3 linked regions of the Drosophila melanogaster genome follow. The protein of the gene in region 3 interacts with the protein of the main gene of each other region in a pairwise test. Each region holds a gene or a part of one and is shown on either strand. Other genes may lie near its edges.

Region 1 (4,994 bases), 8.0 Mb from region 3:
TGCCATGAATGAGGTGCATTTGTATAGAACGAGATGGATTGGTATGGAAATAAACTCGAACGCTGAGGTGCGCTCATGGATGTCAATGTGATTATTATTTAAATCAAGAGGATGGTTTGGGAAATATTTGATCTAATGAGATATGATTTACTATGTGTTAATAATCTTAACTCTGATATCAGAAAATATTTTGTGACGCAAATTAGGATGTGGCAAAAAAGTATTGTTATTTGCCATTGATAAACTGTGATGATTGTGAAATGAATTATATGGGTAAGATATAAATACACTAGTGAGGTGGAGTAATGAATTATTCGAAGCTACCTTTCGCAAATCAGTTATTTAAAACAAGCTTATGATAAGGATGTTTGTACTGGAATAGATTTAACCAATAGTCCTTCATCCTTGGCAGAGTCCTTGCATTACCTGAAACTTTTCTCATTATATCTGCACCGGCACAGCAACGAACAGTGGAAACCGAAGTACTCCAACGGCAGAGCCAACTTTCTGCCCGCCCACAGCTTCAGGTTTTACCAATGACTTCCGTCATCACCGACACACTCAAAGTGTAAATTTGCATTTGCTTCTAATTACGAGCGGGTACAAGAAATTGCCCAGAACTGAGGCCGGAGAAGGCCCGCATTTGCAGCATTTGCAGCATCGGAGCATCTTGGCAACTCGGAAACTTGGCATCTGCAAATGGAGGAGCACTTGCGGCAATTGCAATTTAGAATTTCAATTATATTTATATTTTTTATGGGGTTTTAGGGTGGTGCCTAGGTGGAAAATGCCCGCACACACGGAAGTGCTGGAAAACTACAAATCAAGTGCCACGCACGCAAATTTCCTTTAATTAAAACCAAACTTTTAAGAGCCCCTCGTCTGCATCTTCTTCACGTTCCTCGGCCGCAGATGCATCTTCACTTGGTTACCCAACTGCAAACTACTCGGGATCAACTTAAGCGAATCCAAGGCGACATAATCTTCGAGTGAGGCCCAAAGTGCGGGCCGCTTTTGTTGGTCGCAGGGCGAAGGGATTAAAGGCCAAAGTTTGCTCAGGTGAAGAAATACAATTAGCGAGTAGGACGAGGACACTGTGGCACAAATGAAGTACCGAAATTCATTTTAAAATGTCTTGTCCTTATATTACAATGAAACTTACATGCTATTTTTCCCAATTTAAATTGCACGGCATTACTAATTATTCGAAATTACTGTTTAAGTCACAAATTAGCTGCAAAATAATTAAGTTGCTAAGTTTTTAATCAATTCTTACCAAGGATTAAGCAAGGTTATTGCACGACTGTAATGAACTGCATAGATAAATAAAAAGTTTTACAAGGCATAATTATTAGTATTATTAACTGGTTCATTTACGGATTTAATGCCCTTTTTTTGGGGCTCTTTTGGTTTTAATGTGCCTAAAATTAGCTGGGGTCAGGGAATGCCACTCCTGATTGGGATTATGAATATGAAGTCAAAGCCTACAAAAATCTCTTCCAAGTTTGGTTTTGTAAGTAAAATTCAGTTTTCTTCGCGTTCCAGCCGGAAGTGCACTTAGTATAAAAAAAAAAACGCGGTGAGGGCAAAAAGCGGGCCAAAAGGCAATAAAGAAAACTTCGCCGCCCTTCGAAGCGATGCGAGTGCAGTGGGAAACTTTTCTAACCCATATTAAAACATATTTGCGCAAAAATATGCAGATGCCCGCAGAGTGCAAGGAAGTTTTCACGAATATATGCAGGTTCCTGCCATATCTATATATGGACAGGTGGCGGCGGTGCGTTGGCAGTCAATTGCTCATTGACTTGGCTCAAAAATTGTTGAGTGTCGAGTTCTAAGTCCTAAGCCCCTGCTAACATGTTGGCGAAAGTTCCCGGCACCAGATACGGAAGAGCCGACATCTTCCTCTTCGGAATACCATTTCTTTCGGGCTTAGTTTCCAGTTGAGTTTACGTGAGCTTGGATTTCAAGCTGTGCGCGCACATAAGTTTGCGGCTTAAGCATGTGAAATTCATATGGATGGAAATGGAACCACCCACACGCCACCCCACATATTCAGCTCCAGGAATTTGCACCCACCTGCAGGTGGGGCATAACATTCTGACTGGGCTAATGCATTGCTAGCCACCCAAATAACCTAAGACATTGCGTCGCACGGGGGTGCCAAAGAAGTCAAGCCAAGTTACTAGTGCCAAAAGTTTAAAATTAAACGTAGTTATATCAAAAAAAAAACAGCTTGGTTGGAAACGTAGGGTACTACTGAACTATATATAACGAAGAATGTGTATCTTAAATAGTTTAAATGTTTTTTTTTTACTATTTTATTTAACCTTTCTTTCATTCGCCAATACCAACTTAACGTAAATCAAGAAACTAACGTAGTCAACAGTTTGTTGTTTACCTATCGGTGACGCAAATATTTAATTATAAATTCAGCTCGATTAAAGTTTAAAAGAGCAAAGAATGTCCCAAAAATGTTGCGTTGTAAGCAAAAGGCTAATTATGTTTATGCAAAGTGTTTTTTTTTTGAACTTATGGAACCTAATGGAATATAATTTGAACAAAATTATTGAAAATTGACGGTAATTGAAATGAATTTGAACAAATTTCAGTGCACGGCTTTGGGTGTCGTGTTGGGCCACCATCAAAGGAGTCAAAGAGCGTTGAATGTTGAATGTTGCAACTTTGACACGCGACGCAGACGTTGGCCCAGAGTGTTTTCCCCGGAGCTCTGCAATTTTAAGGGCCTAGGCCTCCCGAAAAGGGTTCATTAGACATTTTACCAAAATTACTGCACATTTCCAAAAAGCAACGGCTATATGATTAGTTTTGAAGCGGTGGTTTATTTGAAGTAGAGGGTTTACTTTGATTTAAGTTAAGTTGAGCGAGTTTGCGTTGTAAGTTACTTGAACATTAAACGGATAAAGTCACTAGTACCCACACTAAACAGCTTACTTGCCAACCGGGAAGAGGGACTTGTGGTGCCCGACTAAACACAAATTCGATGAAATAAAAATAAATTAGCTGCTTTAAATGAGCCAAATAAATTCATTTAGGGTTTTATGCGCTCCACTGAAGTATGCCAAAAGGCACCGTCTTCGTCGTCGCAGTCTTTCGCATCACCCTCTTTTCGGATGGCAGGGTTAAGAGCCAAGTTAAAGGCAACACGTATTGCCAAACTCGATTGCCGCTGGCGCCGCACACCAAATGCAATTTCACTTCACCCTCGTCGAGGTACGGTAAAATTTCCAGGGTCTCCGGTCTCCGGTCGCCAGTATTCCCCATTCGCTGCAGGTGATTCCCCATCGAGACACTTATCTATTGAGTGAGCTTGGTTCGCTTCGTTTGGACCGCTCTTGAAGTGAACGCCAACGAAATAAGAAAACAACAAAGTTTCTTTTGATTATGTCAATGGAATTTGTTTATCTCAACGAAATGTAACCGAATTGAAAAAAATATGTTTTTTTTACGCTCATTTGCATTTACTTTTGCCCGGATATAAATGTGGCAATTGGAAGGGGTGATTTGTTCAAATGTCCAGCTCAGTAAGATTCAATAATTATATATACACGTAACACATTAATGTGATTCTATGGTAAACATTAGAGTAAGGAAGCAAATTTGTTTTGAGAACCCCAGAAACAAAGGCATCATCAACAACGTCAAGTAGCATCAACAACGTCTAGTTTGGGTTCAATATATTGATTCTTGGAAACGTGCCTCTAGAAACTGAATAGCTTAGTCATAAATTCAGTAAAAATACTATTTAAATATAAATTGGCAAACTATTAAAATTCATATCAAAAGCCACGCACCTGGCGCCTGTTCCCCTAAAAAAAAATGGAAACCGGTCAATAACCACAACAAATTCAAAACCGGATTGGAAGAGAAACGCTGGTCACCTGTGAGGAAAGCCCCCACGTCTGGTCCAGTGTCTGGGACAAGTTTTTATTTCAGTGCGGGTAAAGAACCTCCGAAATTCAAACATTATATGAATTCAAAAAAATCGTATAAATAGAGAAAGACGTGACAGAAAGGGCACAGTATCGAGTGCAACATCGAAGCATCCTCATCTTCTGGGATATTAGTACAAATTGAATTCATTTTCAAATTCAATATGAAATTCTTGGTAAGTTTGGCCACCAGAGCTACACCTCGCAGGGATTAAGGACTTTATAAAAATAATAAACGGCCATTCAGGTGATCGTTTTTGTGGCCCTTATCGCCGTTGCTTCCGCGCTTCCTCAATTCGGATATGGAGGATTCGGTGGATTCGGAGGATTCGGTGGCCAACAGCAGCAGCAAGAAGGATTCGGCGGTTTCGGAGGCTTCGGAGAACAGCAACAGCAGCAGGAAAGCTTCGGTGGATTCGGCGGATTTGGAGGAATCGAGCAGCAGCAGCAGCAGCAACAAGGAGGCTTCTTCTAAGGCTGTTACTTTAGTTCCTCGACTAAAAATTAAAATAAATTATTTGAACGTATTAGTATAACAAACACAAAACAGTTTTTGTTTTTAAATACTCATTTACATGTTTTGACAATGGCTTATTGTAGGCCTTTAGATCGACAGAGATTTTATTAATGAGTAACCTTCATTTATTTCGCTTGCTTATAAATACGTTTGGGTTTATTTTTTTGGACATAAGCAACATCAAGAAAAATGAATTATTAAATTAAATTAAAAATTTGTGTTTCAACATAAAAAATTGTTTTTATTTAGCTAATCGAAAATCACTTAATGGGTTAATGACATTTTTGTGCTATAACAACATTAATTGCAAACACTTGAATAATTCGCAAATGATGTTGGCATAAAAACCAAAGGCAGATACTGACTCATGCAAAATTGTGAAATAACCAAATGTTCTGACAGCAATAATTTAACAAAAAACCTAATTTGATTAGCGAAGAGCATACGCCAAGAAGAGCTGATTGCAAACCTGTATTTTTAGTGGGCCCGTCAACCCCAGATACTTGAACGTTTTCAACAACAGA
Region 2 (6,531 bases), on a different chromosome or scaffold from region 3:
GCCAGGCGCTGAAACACAGATTTTGGTCAAGTAAATGGAGTTCCAAATTCCGACTGGTCCGAATGTCCACTTACCGGCACTTTTATGGTCGCGTTCTCATCGATGGTGTTCAGAGGTTTCTTTGAGCGTTTTTTAAATTGTTTATACATAGTACTGGAAAGCTTTATAAGCTTCAATCTTCAATCTTAAATCACAAAATAATAAAAACAAAACAATTTAATGGCGCGTATGCAGGTGCAGTGTGACCGAGCATTGACATCAGTTTTTATCGATAGCCGCGGTGGTCGAGGTTCGTGAATTCGCTAAGCGCAATAACGAATATCGTAACAATTCTTATACAAATTTTACGATTTTCAAATGATTATAAAAATTAACTAATAATTCAACTCTTATAGAAATACTTATTTTTTTTTAACATTACTAATTAAAATCTAACAAAATAAATGAAGAAACGACCTTTAGAGCACTGTGTGTAGAAGTCTAAATAAAAATCCACTTTCGTCAATTCAAATTTTTATTGAAACATAATCTACATAATTCGTACAAAACTATTATTGTATTTTCTTTTTTTTAGGTTTACATAACATTCAATCATACGTAATGACTATAAAATGTTCCTTAATTTTATGATCGATACGGAAGCATGATCCATAAATTGATAATCGTATATGTAAATAAGATGATTATGAGCTTATTTGTTAATTTAAAGCCTTTCGATTTTAATTATTTAACTCGGGTGCTAGATGTCTCTGATAATTAGATAAATATTTCCTAGTATCGATTTTCAACTCTTAAAAGTGCAAAAACTCTATTGTGCCATACATTTTTAAATGTATATAAATACGCTTTATAAAAAGGAAGTACAACATATGTATGTCTTGAAGTGATTATGCCAGAAATTGACTTATTCCGGGGCCATTTAGACCCTTCACTACCTAGTTCATAGAAAATCACTAATTTGGCGTTGTTTTCAGTATTGCTATTGAGTATATATAATGATGAACATGATGCCGATTCTATCACACCAATGCAGTCCAAAGCGAAATTTGCGATTCTTTCACAATACTGTGCTAACGGAAACTCAACTCAGTGTCTTCCGGTTATTGCTTTTCATATTTCTAGATAGTAATAAACTATTGTTTTTTCGCTCGTCGTCTCTTGAAGCCCGTCATTTGCTTGAGCAGCTGTGAGTTTTCGTCATCCAGATCCATATTTGGCTCCCAGAGCCGCAGTCGTTTGGGTATATAGATGAGGCCCAGTAGAGTTATAGCTAAAAAGGCGAAAGATTCAATTTACTAAATGGTTCGGGGTGTTACAAAAAAGATATAATTTGTTATTACTGAATTTTAGTTGTGTTTACTTACAATTTAGCACACACGGGAAGATCACGTAGAAGTTAATGGTGCTGGAGCGAAAGTAGAGTGCCTCGGTGGCATAGAAGACCATGGTGAGGGCCAATGAGCAGCCGCCCATGCTGACCACCCTAAACGTAGGGAAATATCCCCATTAGTGACGATAATCTAACCAGAGGATATATGGGATTCACTTACGGCTTGTAGTGAATGTAGAGGGTGCAGTGGACGAGAGCGATGGCCTTCAGCAGGCAGTACATCCCGATGATCCGCGATATGGTGTAGTCCCCTGTGAAAGAACCCATCAAATGCGACTCCAGCAGCTCAATCCATCCCCACTTACCCTCTATGAACTGGGTGTCGCTGTGATCGCCCAGGAAGCTGCGTCTTTCTATGTAGCTCCTAAAGGCCGTGCCCAGGTCCATGAAGGCCACGAATGCTATCCATCCCCGGAAGGCGTACAGCAATCGCTCGCGGGGTCGTCCGCCAGACTGCATGGCAGCCCTACAAGTAAATTTTCTGTGTTATTTAATATCCATTCTCCCTTTAAAGGAAAATAATTTAATCTAAGGAATGGGTTTACCAATTGGTCTAATGTCCAACACAACTTGAAGACTTTATTACACATATCAGGGTTATATATTTAGAAAATTATTTGAAATTTTGACAAAATGGTCATTATACTGCAGAAAACTTGTAATAGAATGTACAATGTAACAATTCGTCGTAAGGTTTTTTTATGCCTACTCGTATTCGTGTAACGAATGTTTTAAGATATAAGAAAAACTCATTAAGAACCTTAGCCAGAAAATATACAAATTTAGCTCAGGTCATAGTATCATTATGCTTAAAGCAGACCGACCCAGTCTAGATTATGATGATATAATAAGAGAACCAACTATGTACATATTTCGGTATTACAAAGCCATTAGAATAAACGCGATACTATTGCGTGTGCATAATGAGGTGCTTTTGTTTAAAGGCTTTTAGCACAAGCATGAACTCCAAGCGAGCAGCCGAGTCCAATGGCATCGGTGGCAACCGGCTTATCTTCCCCTGAGAATCGCATCGCACTCGGAAGTCCCAGCACATGCCACCACCCACCCCACTCCACTTCACTCCGCAGGTCTGGGCAAAATCGATATTATGGCACACTATGCTGCTGTGCTATTTGCGCAATGCAAATATGCGGAGCGTAATTCCCGGCTGCACGCGACCACGTGGAGCGCTTATGGTGGATCCACCATTAGTCCCGGTTGTTTATTTCCAAGCAACATCGCCGACTGGGTCGTCCGAGCAACGCGATTTATGGGCCCCGGACCAACCGGCTAGCCACTATCAGGCGGTTCACAATAAATGCACCACTGGCTATGTGTGTATTTGATTTCGGGAGCACTCCTCAATTCACTCACATTTTGCAAAGATTCCCGTGTTAATCAGCAGTACCGCGATCCGTCCCACCCGGCGTATGCGTAATATTTGTTTGCAGCACTGCCACTGGCACTCTTGTGTCCCTCAAAAACCTATTTTATGCAGCAGCGATTGTTTATTTCATATATGTGTATTTTCGCCGTTCAGCTGTAAACGCGACCGATTCTCGTACCGCCGCCTGCAACGCCTTGCCAGCCACTAAAAGTCTAGAATGGGAAAGTTTCGTGCGAGGACAGGCAGCTTTTATGCTTTCGGAGCTTTGGTTCTTGTTGATTGGTTCGTATCGCACCGGGAATACCTGGAAAAAGTGGTCTAAGTCCTCAATTAATATAGTATGATTATGATTAAAAAAAATATATTCACAAGTTGGCCATTACTGACTTAAAAAAAAAGTGTGGCTTGCATTTTTAGCATCATTTTATTTAGCAAAGTACAAAAGTTGTAAACTGTGTTCAATCGGAATTGCTATATGTATAGGCAACATGTATAAAAGATCAACAATTTGTCAAGTTCTATGGCTCTCTTGGGATGAAACTGGTCTAGTCTGGTCTAGTCCTTGCCAATGTTGGCCTCAGTCTTGCGGTACTCGGCCCAGTCGACAAATCCATCGTTGTTCAGGTCCATGGACTTCAGCACATAGTCAATGGTGTCCTCCAGAGCCTTGTCCGTGTACACAGATCCGGATTTGTGATCATCGGGCTGCTGCGCTTGGCCCTCGGCGTGGCCTTCCTGGTGTGCCTCGGCTGGTTTTTCTCCACTATCCTTGACTAGAAAGGTAATGTACACTTTAAGGCTCCGCTGGGCATGGTTAACTTGTTAGCTAAGCTCACCCGAAACCGGAAAATGTGTTCTAGTGTCTACAATTCTACTTGATAGAGGGATTACATGTGGTGGTCGCGTGTGATTTGAAGTTGACTTTATTCGCTAATTCGGCTTTACTTACAGAGATTTGCATGCGTCTATATAGTAGGTTTCAGTTTAAAAAGACGGGGTTTTCTTCGCTTATTTTTTTGCATAGTTTCATTTTCTTTTTGTACAAAACAAACGTTTACACAATCAGTCTGTTTTTTTTGCTGCTCTAAAGTCGCGCTTAAAAATTAGTTCATATCGAAAAGTAACTAAAATTATGACAATCGAAAACAAAACGAAACAAGGCGGCTGGAATTGCACAACCCACTCGAGAGATTCGTGAGAAATAATATTCGAAAATGCGAATCTTTTGAAAAAAGAGTTCTCAGAAGGACGTTTAGTTACAATTTGTTCAATGAAGTTCTCCGATTGGAATGCTTGCAGCATGTTAAGTAAATTTCATTCAAATTTATCTAAGAAGTGCGCTAAAATCGTCGACGAGGTCAACGTAATTTCAGGGTGTTTTGGGCAGAAACAGGAGTATGTGTTGCACGTCACAGAGCGCGGGACGAGGACATGGTTTTATGTATGTAAACTGAACGCATCTGGGTGACTACTAATGAACCGGCTGCTGCTGCTGCTGCTGTTGCTGTTCGTGCGGCTGCTGTTGTTGCTGCTGCTGCTGCTGCTGCTTCTCGGCGGCCTTTTGCTGCGCCTTAATGAACTCCGGATAGTCGATGTAGCCGTCGCGTGAGGTGTCGTCCATCTGCAGGATGGGATCAATGAGGGCCACCAGCTCCTCGTCGGAGAAAACCTTCTCCTCCACATGCGGCTTCTCACCGTTCGGCTGCTCCTTGCTGCCTTGCTCTGCATGGCAATGATTTGTTATGGCGGATGCGAGATGGATTAGCATGAGATTCGAGCATGACCACAACCATAACCGGAAACAGCCCAGTTTTATTACGCATATGCAAAGAAGTAGAACAGAATAGTGGGTCAAACAAAACGAAATACAGAAACCACAAACGCAACTCTAACCAGCGAGCCAGATTAAAAAGCAGTAGCTATCTTACCGTGCCAATGGATCAGCGATTTGATCAGCTCGCAGCCGTCCAACTTGTTGTTGTTGTCCGAGTCGTGCATCTTGAAGTAGTGGAACTGCAGCTCAGCCTCGGACATCTTGCTCGTATCGATTGGCACTTGCATGTGCTCCTGGATGTGACTGAAATTGAAAGAGTAAGGTTTGGTATTAGATCCAACTGATCGTTGATTTGGTTGAAGAAATAGATCAGCCCAGAAATATTATGTAAGTACTATGTCTAATTTACTTTTAACATGGAACTTTTGATATATAATTTCTTTAAATGCGAATGGAAACATTTGCTGTATGAAAATGTCACTATGCTTAATTTATAGACTTTTTTCCTAATTAAGCCTTAGGTTTGCGGTACAACAAAATACCTCCCTTCACTTTTATGATTTATTTATGACATTTTTACTCGTATACCCTAAAGCTCCATTGATGGATAATGATTGCCAGTGGCAGTGATAAGATAGACGGGCACTTACGCGCGCTCCTGCTGAATGTTGCCGGTGTTTAGGACTTGCTGCGGTTGCCCATGGTGGTGGCCACCTGCCTGCTGGTGGTGCCCCTGCTGCGGCTGTTGCTGTTGCTGCATCGTCGGTTGCTGGTGGATTGGTTGATGTTGCTGCTGCTGCTGCTGCACAGGAACTTGCTGATATTGGACCGGTGCCTGCTGTTGCACGGGAACTTGAACCTGTTCGTATTGCTGGAAGTCGGAGGCCTACTGGTTAATTGCTTGCCATTCGGAAATGCGCATTTGCACTCACGTATTGCTGGGGCGGCACACCGGGTGCTGAGTGGACCTGTTGCTGGTACTGCGGCTGGTGGTGCTGCGGTGGTGGCGGTGGGTGGTGCTGCGGCACCTGCTGCGGCACTTGTTGCTGCAATATGTGTGGGTTAATTCCCTCATTGGCGAATGGGGGTGCTTCAAATCACTCACATAGTGCTGCGGATTCACTCCGGGAGCGACGCGCTGTCCGCTGGCCAATCCAATCAGGATTAGGGGCAGCAGCAGCTGAACTGCTGGCAATTCCGTGACGCGCATCTGCATGGAAGTGCTGGATTCTGGCGGGGATCGGATCGGATCGGTTTGGGATCTATATCGCTTCTGGTGGCTCTGTAATCACCACGTCGCAAAGACGAAACACACACGTACACAAATCGCTTCTTCTTCGCCGGTGGACATTCGCAGCGAGCGACAGCTGATTCTCAGGTAAGTGCGGACATTCGCCACGAAACGTGTGAGCGGCATGACAACACTGCGCGCCTGGGTTAGGGGTATGCGCGTAGATAATATTATCATGCTTCAAACCGAAAAAAAAAATCATAAAAACAAACTTGATGCTTCCATTTAACAACTCAAAATTTAATCAATCTAATATGTGTACGATTTCACCGTTAGGGGTTTAGTATTAGTACCCCGCTAATATTTAGCTCAAGGAACACCCCAAATGCAGTTGGGCATAATTAGGGTGTTTTAAAGATTGAAGCTACGGTCTACCGTGGACACCCTGTAAAACTTCTCTTCGTTTTCAACCAGCAAATTGACTGGTTCAGCGCTGCTCAAAATACAAAGATTTGAATATCTCGACCAGGGAAATTGCTAAATAATGGTAAGAATGCTGTTGCCGAACAATCCGCAACTACTGCGAGTCAATAGTAGTGCTTGCATTGCCCTTGCCAACACGAAATACCGTGCACGTGCGATGGCCGTTCAACCTAACCCCACTTAATCGATGTTTCCGCCAAATCCACAGGCTGCTGCACCCAAGGATATTGAGAAGCCCCATGTCGGCGATTCTGCCTCTGTGCACC
Region 3 (8,049 bases):
CAAATATATCTCGGTAAATTTTTTTCAATACAATTGGCGGCTCAATGAACTTACCTTTTTCAAGCTATAGCCCGCATAAAAGATAATTGGGGGCAGGATAATATTGAAAAATACCTCCGGATCGAACGTTGCCTTAAGATCGATTTCGTTCTCATCCACATCGTGTACCTGTCCTCGAAACACGTAGGCATACGTCTTGATTCCCTCTGGCGGCTTTGTGCCATTTGTTTGATTAACGGGGTACTAAAATTAAAACCAAATTGTAATATATTTACATATATTCGTTCTGGCCATTAATGATTTACCCTAAACCAAAGAGTATCAGGCGGCAATTTATCGCTGTACGTTGGAACTCCCTGAGGCTCCACCTGCATGTGGACCAGGGTGGCGGAGGTGCCGGCATATCGTATAATTGCACCCACAATCAAGCCTGAAATGGGGTAAACACATTAGTTTTGGCTATTGCTGCAGTTGGGATCGAAAATAAGTTGAATTGTAATGTAATTTTACCGGGTCTTAAATGAAATAAAGCTAGTATGACTGTTTTCTGGACTGACCTATCGCAAAGCAAGGGTGTGACTAATAGCCGCTTAGAAAAATGCTTAGTCAAGCCATATCAAGCCTTATCAACTAAGCAACCACTCAACAGGTTCATAATTCGCAGACGGAATCAGTGTTTTATGTTCACGCCGATAAACAAATTTGTGGGGATGATTAATCGTGGTGCGCATAACAAAATGCTTTCACTGGCCCTGCCGGACGAATGCTAAATAATCTTTTCCAGTTTACACCAGAGCTGGGCTTTGTCGACGCCCAGGCCAACCAGTTTTATTGAATTGTTTCATTAGCTTCAATTAGTCGAACGAAATCTTGTTTGCTCTTTTATTGCTGCACATAAACGAAATTGTTAGAATAACAAAGTACTCGGCAGATTGCCGCGATCATGAACGAGCAGTGAAAATACATTCGGTCGGAAAACCCCAATGATATTGACTGACTAAGCAAGTCAAGGTCTCGTATACAATATCTTTGCCGCAATGCATTAGCTCTGCTGTCGTTGCGTGCAGGTTCTTTCACGGATATTGATGTTACTTCTACCCCGGGGTGGCTTTTACTGCCTCCCATATGTGCGCACGTAATGTCACGGTTGGCGTGGACAAAGGCGTAATTCGAAATTGGTGACAACAAAGAGGTAGCAATGAATGTGGCAGGTGACCGATAATCAAGTCTTTCGAGCTAAGGGAAACATGGCCAAAAGGGAAAGCTGCCCGCGTTACCAACGTACCGTAGATGACGGCCAATCCCGTCTCGTGGAGCCAGGAGACGCGATGGTGTTTGAAAAGCCAAATTGTGAGCACTGTGAGCGCCAGCAGGAACACGAAGACTAGAAGGTCCAGGCTCTGGATGCGGTGATTGAGCGTGGCCTTGGCGTCCAGAGCGATGTCAGTGTCCGTGGCGCTGCATCCAGGCGCGAGGACGCACAATGCAAATCCGACTATGAGCAGCATGCTGCTCCGCCAGCACTGTAGCTTCCAGAATGTCTGCGACCTTGGGTGACTTCCTGCGTCCCCATGAATACGGTGGGGCGATGTCATCTCTACCTCGGGGTCCACATCGCCGTGGGACATACTTTCTTCAGTTTCTTCCTGCGCCTGCAGCCGAAATCGATTTTCGCGTTATGTTTCACGGGTTGGGGGGGTGGTGGTGGAGGTGATGGTGCTAGAAGCGCGGAGCAGGACGACCACGCTCAGGCGGCGCCAGGGGAGTGTGTGGACCTCCTTTCGCTTGGATATTGAATGTGCCGCACAGCCGTTACATAAAATTAAAGGGTCCAAAAAGAGCTTTCAAAATTTCACAGCAGCGCACTCCGCTAAAAAAACAGTTTGTTCGTTCATATGGAAACAACCGTATGCGACTGCAGTGTGACCGCACGCTAGCACGCGAAAAAATATTGCCTTTGAACAGGAGCGGTTCAGTAAAGATATTTGTATTCAATATAATAGTTATGTAAAACTAAAACTTGCAATAATCCCAAACTATTTTCCAAGTAAAAACTATTATTCCGGGAATTGCGTCAAATTAGCCTTTTCATTTATTAATTTTCTTTCCCGTCGTCTAGTACTAGTCCCGCCGACCAGTCTCTCCGTGTCCCACCGACATAGTTAGATCTGTAAGTTCGTATCATTGCTATTTTTCACGATTCCTCTATACATTCAAAAAAAAAAAAATAAATAAAAAATTCCCCATGTTTAGAATTCCGCCGTTCCTCCATCGGTAATTATTCCGGGAAAACAGTAAACGGGCAGGTGCAGTTTCCGGTTATCGATAACCGTTACCCTGCCCTAGCCAACAAGAGTATGACCTGACAAAGGCGCCACCTAGCGCTCGTTTCAAAAAGAATGTTAAGTAATTGGCGCTTTAATTCAAATATACATACAAATTATACAAATTACAAACAGTGCGGCCGTGATATTGTGGATATTTATTTGGAAAATAGATATTTAAAGCAACCCAACTATGCCAATGCGTCGGGCGATTTTGAAGTGTTTCCTAAGATATACCGTAGTGAAACGTATGCTCTCGCAAGTTCGCATTATCCAATTTGCATTTCTAGAATAGTGAACTTCTACTCCTTGCGAATTATATAGACCAAACTGAAAGCCAAGCTGCAGAACAATATGGGATAGCTAAGCTTAAGGATTCTGTGGTTGACTAGACGCCTCAAGAAACTCAAGGGCTTGCCAGTTTGTTTTAGGTCCGGATCCGTTTCCTCCTCCATATCGATTTCCGCCTCCGGGCCCGTCAGCGTCTCCCTTTCTTCCGCTTGCTCACTTTCTATCAAGTCTGGAGCTGTTTCAACTTCGCTATTCTCTTCTATTCTGGCCTGCAAAAGTTGGCGCATTAGGTGCACATTGTACTCCGGATCAAATAGTTCATCCAAAGTAACCATCTCGCGACCGTTTTGCACCGACCCATCTAGTGAGGGATGGTCGGCCAGTTCCGGGACCGAGTCAATGCACACAATCTCATCCGCCGTTGGATGAAACATGGGCTCCAATGTTTCAGGGTATTTCTCGAATTGTTCACGAACAAGCCTGTCCTCTTCGGACTCGCTACTTTCATTAATTAACGTTTCGAGTTCCTCCATATCCGATTCGGGTACAGATTTCTCGGATTCTACGTCTGTAGGATCTTGCGGGGTCTCTTGGACGATCTCTGTGTGTTCATCTATTGGCTCTTCGCCCAAATGCTGGACAATTTCGAATTCCTTTAAAGATTCTATTTCCACGGCAGTTTCCTTTATTTCTGGAAATTCCCCTTTCGGTGCAATTTCTTTTTCCACCATCTGTACATTTCCTGGTATAAGTTCTTCGGGTTGTGTTTCAGGAAGTGTTTCCTGCTGAATATCGTTTCCTGTCAGCTGTTCCATATCTAGTCCGGAAGACTCGGCACCATTCTCCACATCAGAGGCTTCATTTTGCAACTGTGTATCCACATCAGTGGCGTCATATTGCACCTGTGTATCCTGGTCAATATCATCGGGCAGTAGATTTTGCATATCTAAATTATTAAAAGCCACATCAGCCTCCATTTCGGCGACGACGCGTTGAAGTTCCTTGAGAGTCTGCTCCTCTGCCAGTCGGAGCTCCAACTCGCTGCTAGTGTCCGGAATCCTGTCGAGCATCGGCTGCAGCATTGGACTCGGTCTGGCCGACAGCGTAGTCTGCTGCTCGTCCGTGGAGCAATCCAAATTGATGCCAGAATCGTCGGCCATCTGTTGACTTTCCATGGAGGAGCGTCGCTTTCTCTCGGGCATCAGTGAACTGTAGATCCGGCTGCTGGCACTGGGTCCCAAGAAAAGTGGAGCCGGAATTTTAGTGGGCCTAACTCCCGAACTGCGAGGCCGCAGCTCACTCTCCGACGAAGATGGGACAACCGCGTCCACATCGTTTTCCATTGATTGACATTCTTCGGAGTTTTTCACATTCTTGTTGTTCTCAGTCCGCTTCAGCTCTTCCTGGGATGGAGTTGCTTGCACATTGCGGCTGGCCATCGTGGCTATTTGGACGCATAAATGAATGAGGTCAGCACAATTTGGTAGAGCACTGTGCTCCAACTTACCCTTTATAAATTTACGCAAGACTGACTGAATTTAACCTGGTTAACTAGTTCGACATCCGTGAAATATTATATCAATGTTTTCAACATGGGTTTTCCCTTATTTCGGTGATCAAAACGTTCCCTAGCGAAAGTGTGTTCGCCTAACTGTGGCAATTGAACTAAATGGATTGACAGGCAATGTCTCCTGATTTCACGTGCAGCCAGGCCAACTTGATTCAGTTCATTTTTGTGTTGGAAAACGCGGCTCCAATGGCCAACTGGATTGGCAACTCATTTATTAACTTAGTGGTAGCATTAATACATAATTTGGTTAGAATTGATGGCAGAAAAGACGTTAATGGCTCTGAGGATTGCGATTCCCCTCAGTCCTGCAACTCCACCTTCGTCTTGAGATAGTCGGACAGATCATTGTAGATCAGCGGCTTCACACGATCTGTTTTGAAAAGCATAGAAAAAAGTTTAGTTCAGTTGAAGTTACCACTTTGTTTCGATTTCCCTTACTATTGCACTTGTACTGCAGGTTGGACCATATAATCATCCTCTGTGAGAAGCAGAACACGCCCAGCCGACCGCCCTTCAGCGTGGAGTCAAACACATTGCCCGAGTCGAAGATCAGGCGGTTACCCTCGTGCATTCTGTGGGTAGAAGGAGAATGAAGACATGGGAACCCTGTCATGGTGCCATCACTCACTGCAGGCGGATGAGGCCGATGGCCGGTCGATGCACCAGGGACCAGCGGTAGGAGGTCCTTTCCTTCCACGCAATGTTCTTCGGATCCTTCCACAGCAGCCTGGCCTCACCGTCGGTGTTTCCCTCGTGCCACAGGCTGTTCCTCATCATTGGGCCCGGACCCTCGGTGCTGTTGACCAGCTTGATCTGGATGCCCGGCGCCGCAGAGGCGGTGAAGGGTCGTGGCTCCCAGTAGGTTTGGGTGCCCTTCTTCCACTGCACCACGTAGTACTTGTAGCTGCTCTGGTAGCTGAACACAAAGCCAGCGTAGTCATCGTCCGTGTCATCGTTGATATAAAAGGTGCCGTCGAAGTCAACGCCTCCGAAGGCGTCCTTGCCCACCGCTAGTCCCGGATCCGAATTGAGGGTCTGGACTATCTCGGTGCCATTGGCGTGTACCACCCAGTTGGGATCCGCTTGCGATAGGCCTTTGGGATCCAGTGGAATGGTTTGAAGAGTGCGAAAGTCAGTGTGATGAATCATCGAGTTGTTCGGGCAGTTGTCCATGCCATTCGGTACACCATCTACGTCCTCATCATCTTCGCAAGAGTCACCCTTGCCATTCCGATTGAAGTCGTCCTGCTTTGGGTTCTTGGCCAGCGGACAGTTGTCCTTGTAGTTGGGTATCCCATCTCCGTCCATGTCGTCATCGCACTCATCGCCCGTTCCATCACCGTCAGTGTCCAGCTGGTCCGAGTTACTGACCATTGGGCAGTTGTCCAGCGAGTTTGGAACTCCATCATCATCCCCGTCGATGTCTCTGTGACAGGCATCGCCTACAAAGTCCATGTCGCGATCCTTTTGGTCGGGATTCGGAAGATTCGGACAGTTATCGCAAGCGTCGCCCACACCATCGTTGTCCACGTCCGACTGACTGGGATTCGGCAGCAGCGGACAGTTGTCTAGCGCATTTGGTATGGAGTCGTTGTCGATATCACCATCGCACTCGTCTCCCAGTCCATCCTCGTCCGTGTCCAACTGCCTGGGATTGTACTTAAGCACGCAGTTGTCGCACACATCGCCCACCTTGTCTCCATCCGAGTCCAGCTGCTCGGTGTTGTAGGCCAGCCAGCAGTTGTCTTGGCTGTTCTGGACATTGTCGCCATCGGCATCGTCGTCGCACCCATCGCCATGTCCATCCAGATCGGCGTCCTCCTGGCCTGAATTAGGCAACTTCGGGCAGTTGTCTCGCTGACAGCGCAGCTCTGGACAACCGATTGCCTGATCTGGCCATCCATCTACGTCGGTATCCCTACCGCAAATCAAACCGTTGCCCGCCCATCCCACATTGCAGTGACACTTGTGGCGGATGTTATCCATCCTAAGGCACACGGCATTGCGGTCACAAACGGTTCCATCCGGACACATGAACACCGAGGATCTGTCTAGGCAGCTGTAGGTGCCATTTGTTACATATCCTTCGTGGCATTGGCATCTGTAGGAACCCTGCGAAAGAAATCTATTACTTTTAAACTATTTTTTTTTAAATTTGTATCGTACTCACAATCTCGTTGATGCAAGTAGAATGCTCCGGGCATCGGAAGAACCCAGTGCGGCACTCATCGACGTCCAGGCACGTTTGCCTGCGATAATCCACGGAGTAGTAGTCGGCGAAGTAGCCATGGGCGTGGGTGCCATCGAAGCCAACGGGACACGGGCTGCACTGGAAGCCAGGACTAAGATTGGTGCACGTCGCCAGCTCGTCGCAAGGATCGTAGAGCAGGCACTCATTCATATCCCGGCAGCTGGTTCCGTTCACCTCGTGGCCCATTGGACACGAGATGCAGTGAAAGTAGGGCGGATAGCCAACCTGGAGGCACTGGGCGCCTTCGTTAAGTTAAAAAGTAATTGCAAAAACGAATTAAGATGATTGCAATGCAATAAAACGAATGGAAACAGGTGAGTTATTCACGAAGCTGCCAACATGTTCACTCACATATGTATGAGTATCTTTATGAGCCATTTTCTTCAAAGAAAACTTTTTCTGTTTAAAAAACGGTTTGAAAAATGACAATTTCGATGTAAGTTTGACAAAAACACTATATGTATATAAGCTTTTGTGCTACTTCGCTTTCTACTTCTATATTGTTTTCCGATTCTTTGCCGATTCATGGACACTGGGTAAAATGATATAGCTTTTCTTTGAAATAAGTTATATCTATTCAGCTGATTCTTTATAATTATCTATAAGATATTTCGAGTTCAACTTCCACTCACCGTTGATATATCTGAATGTATGACCAGAAAATGATAGTGTATAAACATGATGCGATAGAAAGGCATGTGGGTTTGGTTTGGATGATTTCGATGGGTAAATAAATAAAAATTTGTGTGGCCAATGATGGAGTTTATTTATTAAATACCAAAAATTACAGCGTACATTTTGTTATAATAATATTCATAGTTTATTACAATAATTGGGAGATTTCAGGCGGGGCAAGCAAATTTTGTTACACGTTTATAGACTCCACTTTCTGGGCATTTGATTGGGACGTACATATACATATTTAGTTATCTATTCTACAAGAGCTTTTCAATGATATTATCTCACGATTTTCCGCTGGAGCTGCGTCTGCTTTCAAATGATAATTGCTAATACTATGAATTTCCGCTGTTCGCCAATCGGAGAGCTTACAACTTATGACTATTTTATAAAGTAGTAATTCAATATGTGCACTTTCTACGCTCTGTACTTGTTTAGCTTTAGTTGTGTATCATAGCTCAGCCGAAAACGTTGCAATAGTCCCTTCCTCCGCGGATTAGTTCGTAACGACCGAGTATTTTCGGGCGGTGTACTGGCTCTGCCTCTGATAGTGTTGCACATTATGCGAGGGCACTAGAATGTTGCCTGATACAAATGAGAATTGTTGATTAGTAAGTAGGTAGTTTAATGTGTAATGTGTCCCATTCGACTCGTTCAATTAAGTCCACCTACTGGAAGAGCATCGAGCACTTTGTACTTTTGCCGCAAATCAATTAGACAACTTGTCTTATATGGCCCCAACATTCCAGCACGCCCAAAACTCGTTGAATCTCAGTATATCTGTGAGCTCTGATTAACCCTCTTGTTTCACACATTCGCGAGAAGCCCCAAATTAGCCCAGGTACTACAGGTACTCTATAATTTTCGAGGGTTTTTTATTCAATCAGAAGGTTCGGCGAGTCCTCAGAGGTCGAATTAAACTGAAGTGGGCATTA

The links. Proteins that work in one complex are often made in the same cells at the same time.
Region 1: the proteins of CG11327 (region 3) and CG15282 interact in a two-hybrid assay, tested with the Drosophila melanogaster proteins (one large-scale study listed by BioGRID).
Region 2: the proteins of CG11327 (region 3) and CG17270 interact in a two-hybrid assay, tested with the Drosophila melanogaster proteins (one large-scale study listed by BioGRID).

What each region holds. Positions count from the first base shown.
Region 1 is NT_033779.5:14,708,625-14,713,618, forward strand, and holds CG15282 (uncharacterized protein), read left to right. Parts: upstream 1-3,846; 5' UTR 3,847-3,962; intron 3,963-4,018; 5' UTR 4,019-4,117; coding exon 4,118-4,129; intron 4,130-4,200; coding exon 4,201-4,428; 3' UTR 4,429-4,494; downstream 4,495-4,994.
Region 2 is NT_033777.3:20,815,945-20,822,475, forward strand, and holds CG17270 (uncharacterized protein), read right to left. Parts: upstream 2,986-6,531; 5' UTR 2,767-2,985; coding exon 2,765-2,766; intron 1,857-2,764; coding exon 1,696-1,856; intron 1,642-1,695; coding exon 1,551-1,641; intron 1,484-1,550; coding exon 1,365-1,483; intron 1,271-1,364; coding exon 1,134-1,270; 3' UTR 501-1,133; downstream 1-500. Other genes in the region: Fancd2, read right to left, coding at 1-8, 75-149; CG17271 (uncharacterized protein), read right to left, coding at 4,249-4,499, 4,706-4,854, 5,202-5,422, 5,484-5,597, 5,657-5,767; RpS20 (ribosomal protein S20), read left to right, coding at 6,327-6,329, 6,474-6,531.
Region 3 is NT_033779.5:6,682,441-6,690,489, forward strand, and holds CG11327 (uncharacterized protein), read right to left. Parts: upstream 4,273-8,049; 5' UTR 4,123-4,272; intron 4,060-4,122; 5' UTR 4,055-4,059; coding exon 2,627-4,054; 3' UTR 2,402-2,626; downstream 1-2,401. Other genes in the region: Nhe3 (Na[+]/H[+] hydrogen exchanger 3), read right to left, coding at 55-243, 306-430, 1,286-1,508; Tsp (thrombospondin), read right to left, coding at 4,485-4,555, 4,624-4,757, 4,814-6,297, 6,356-6,678.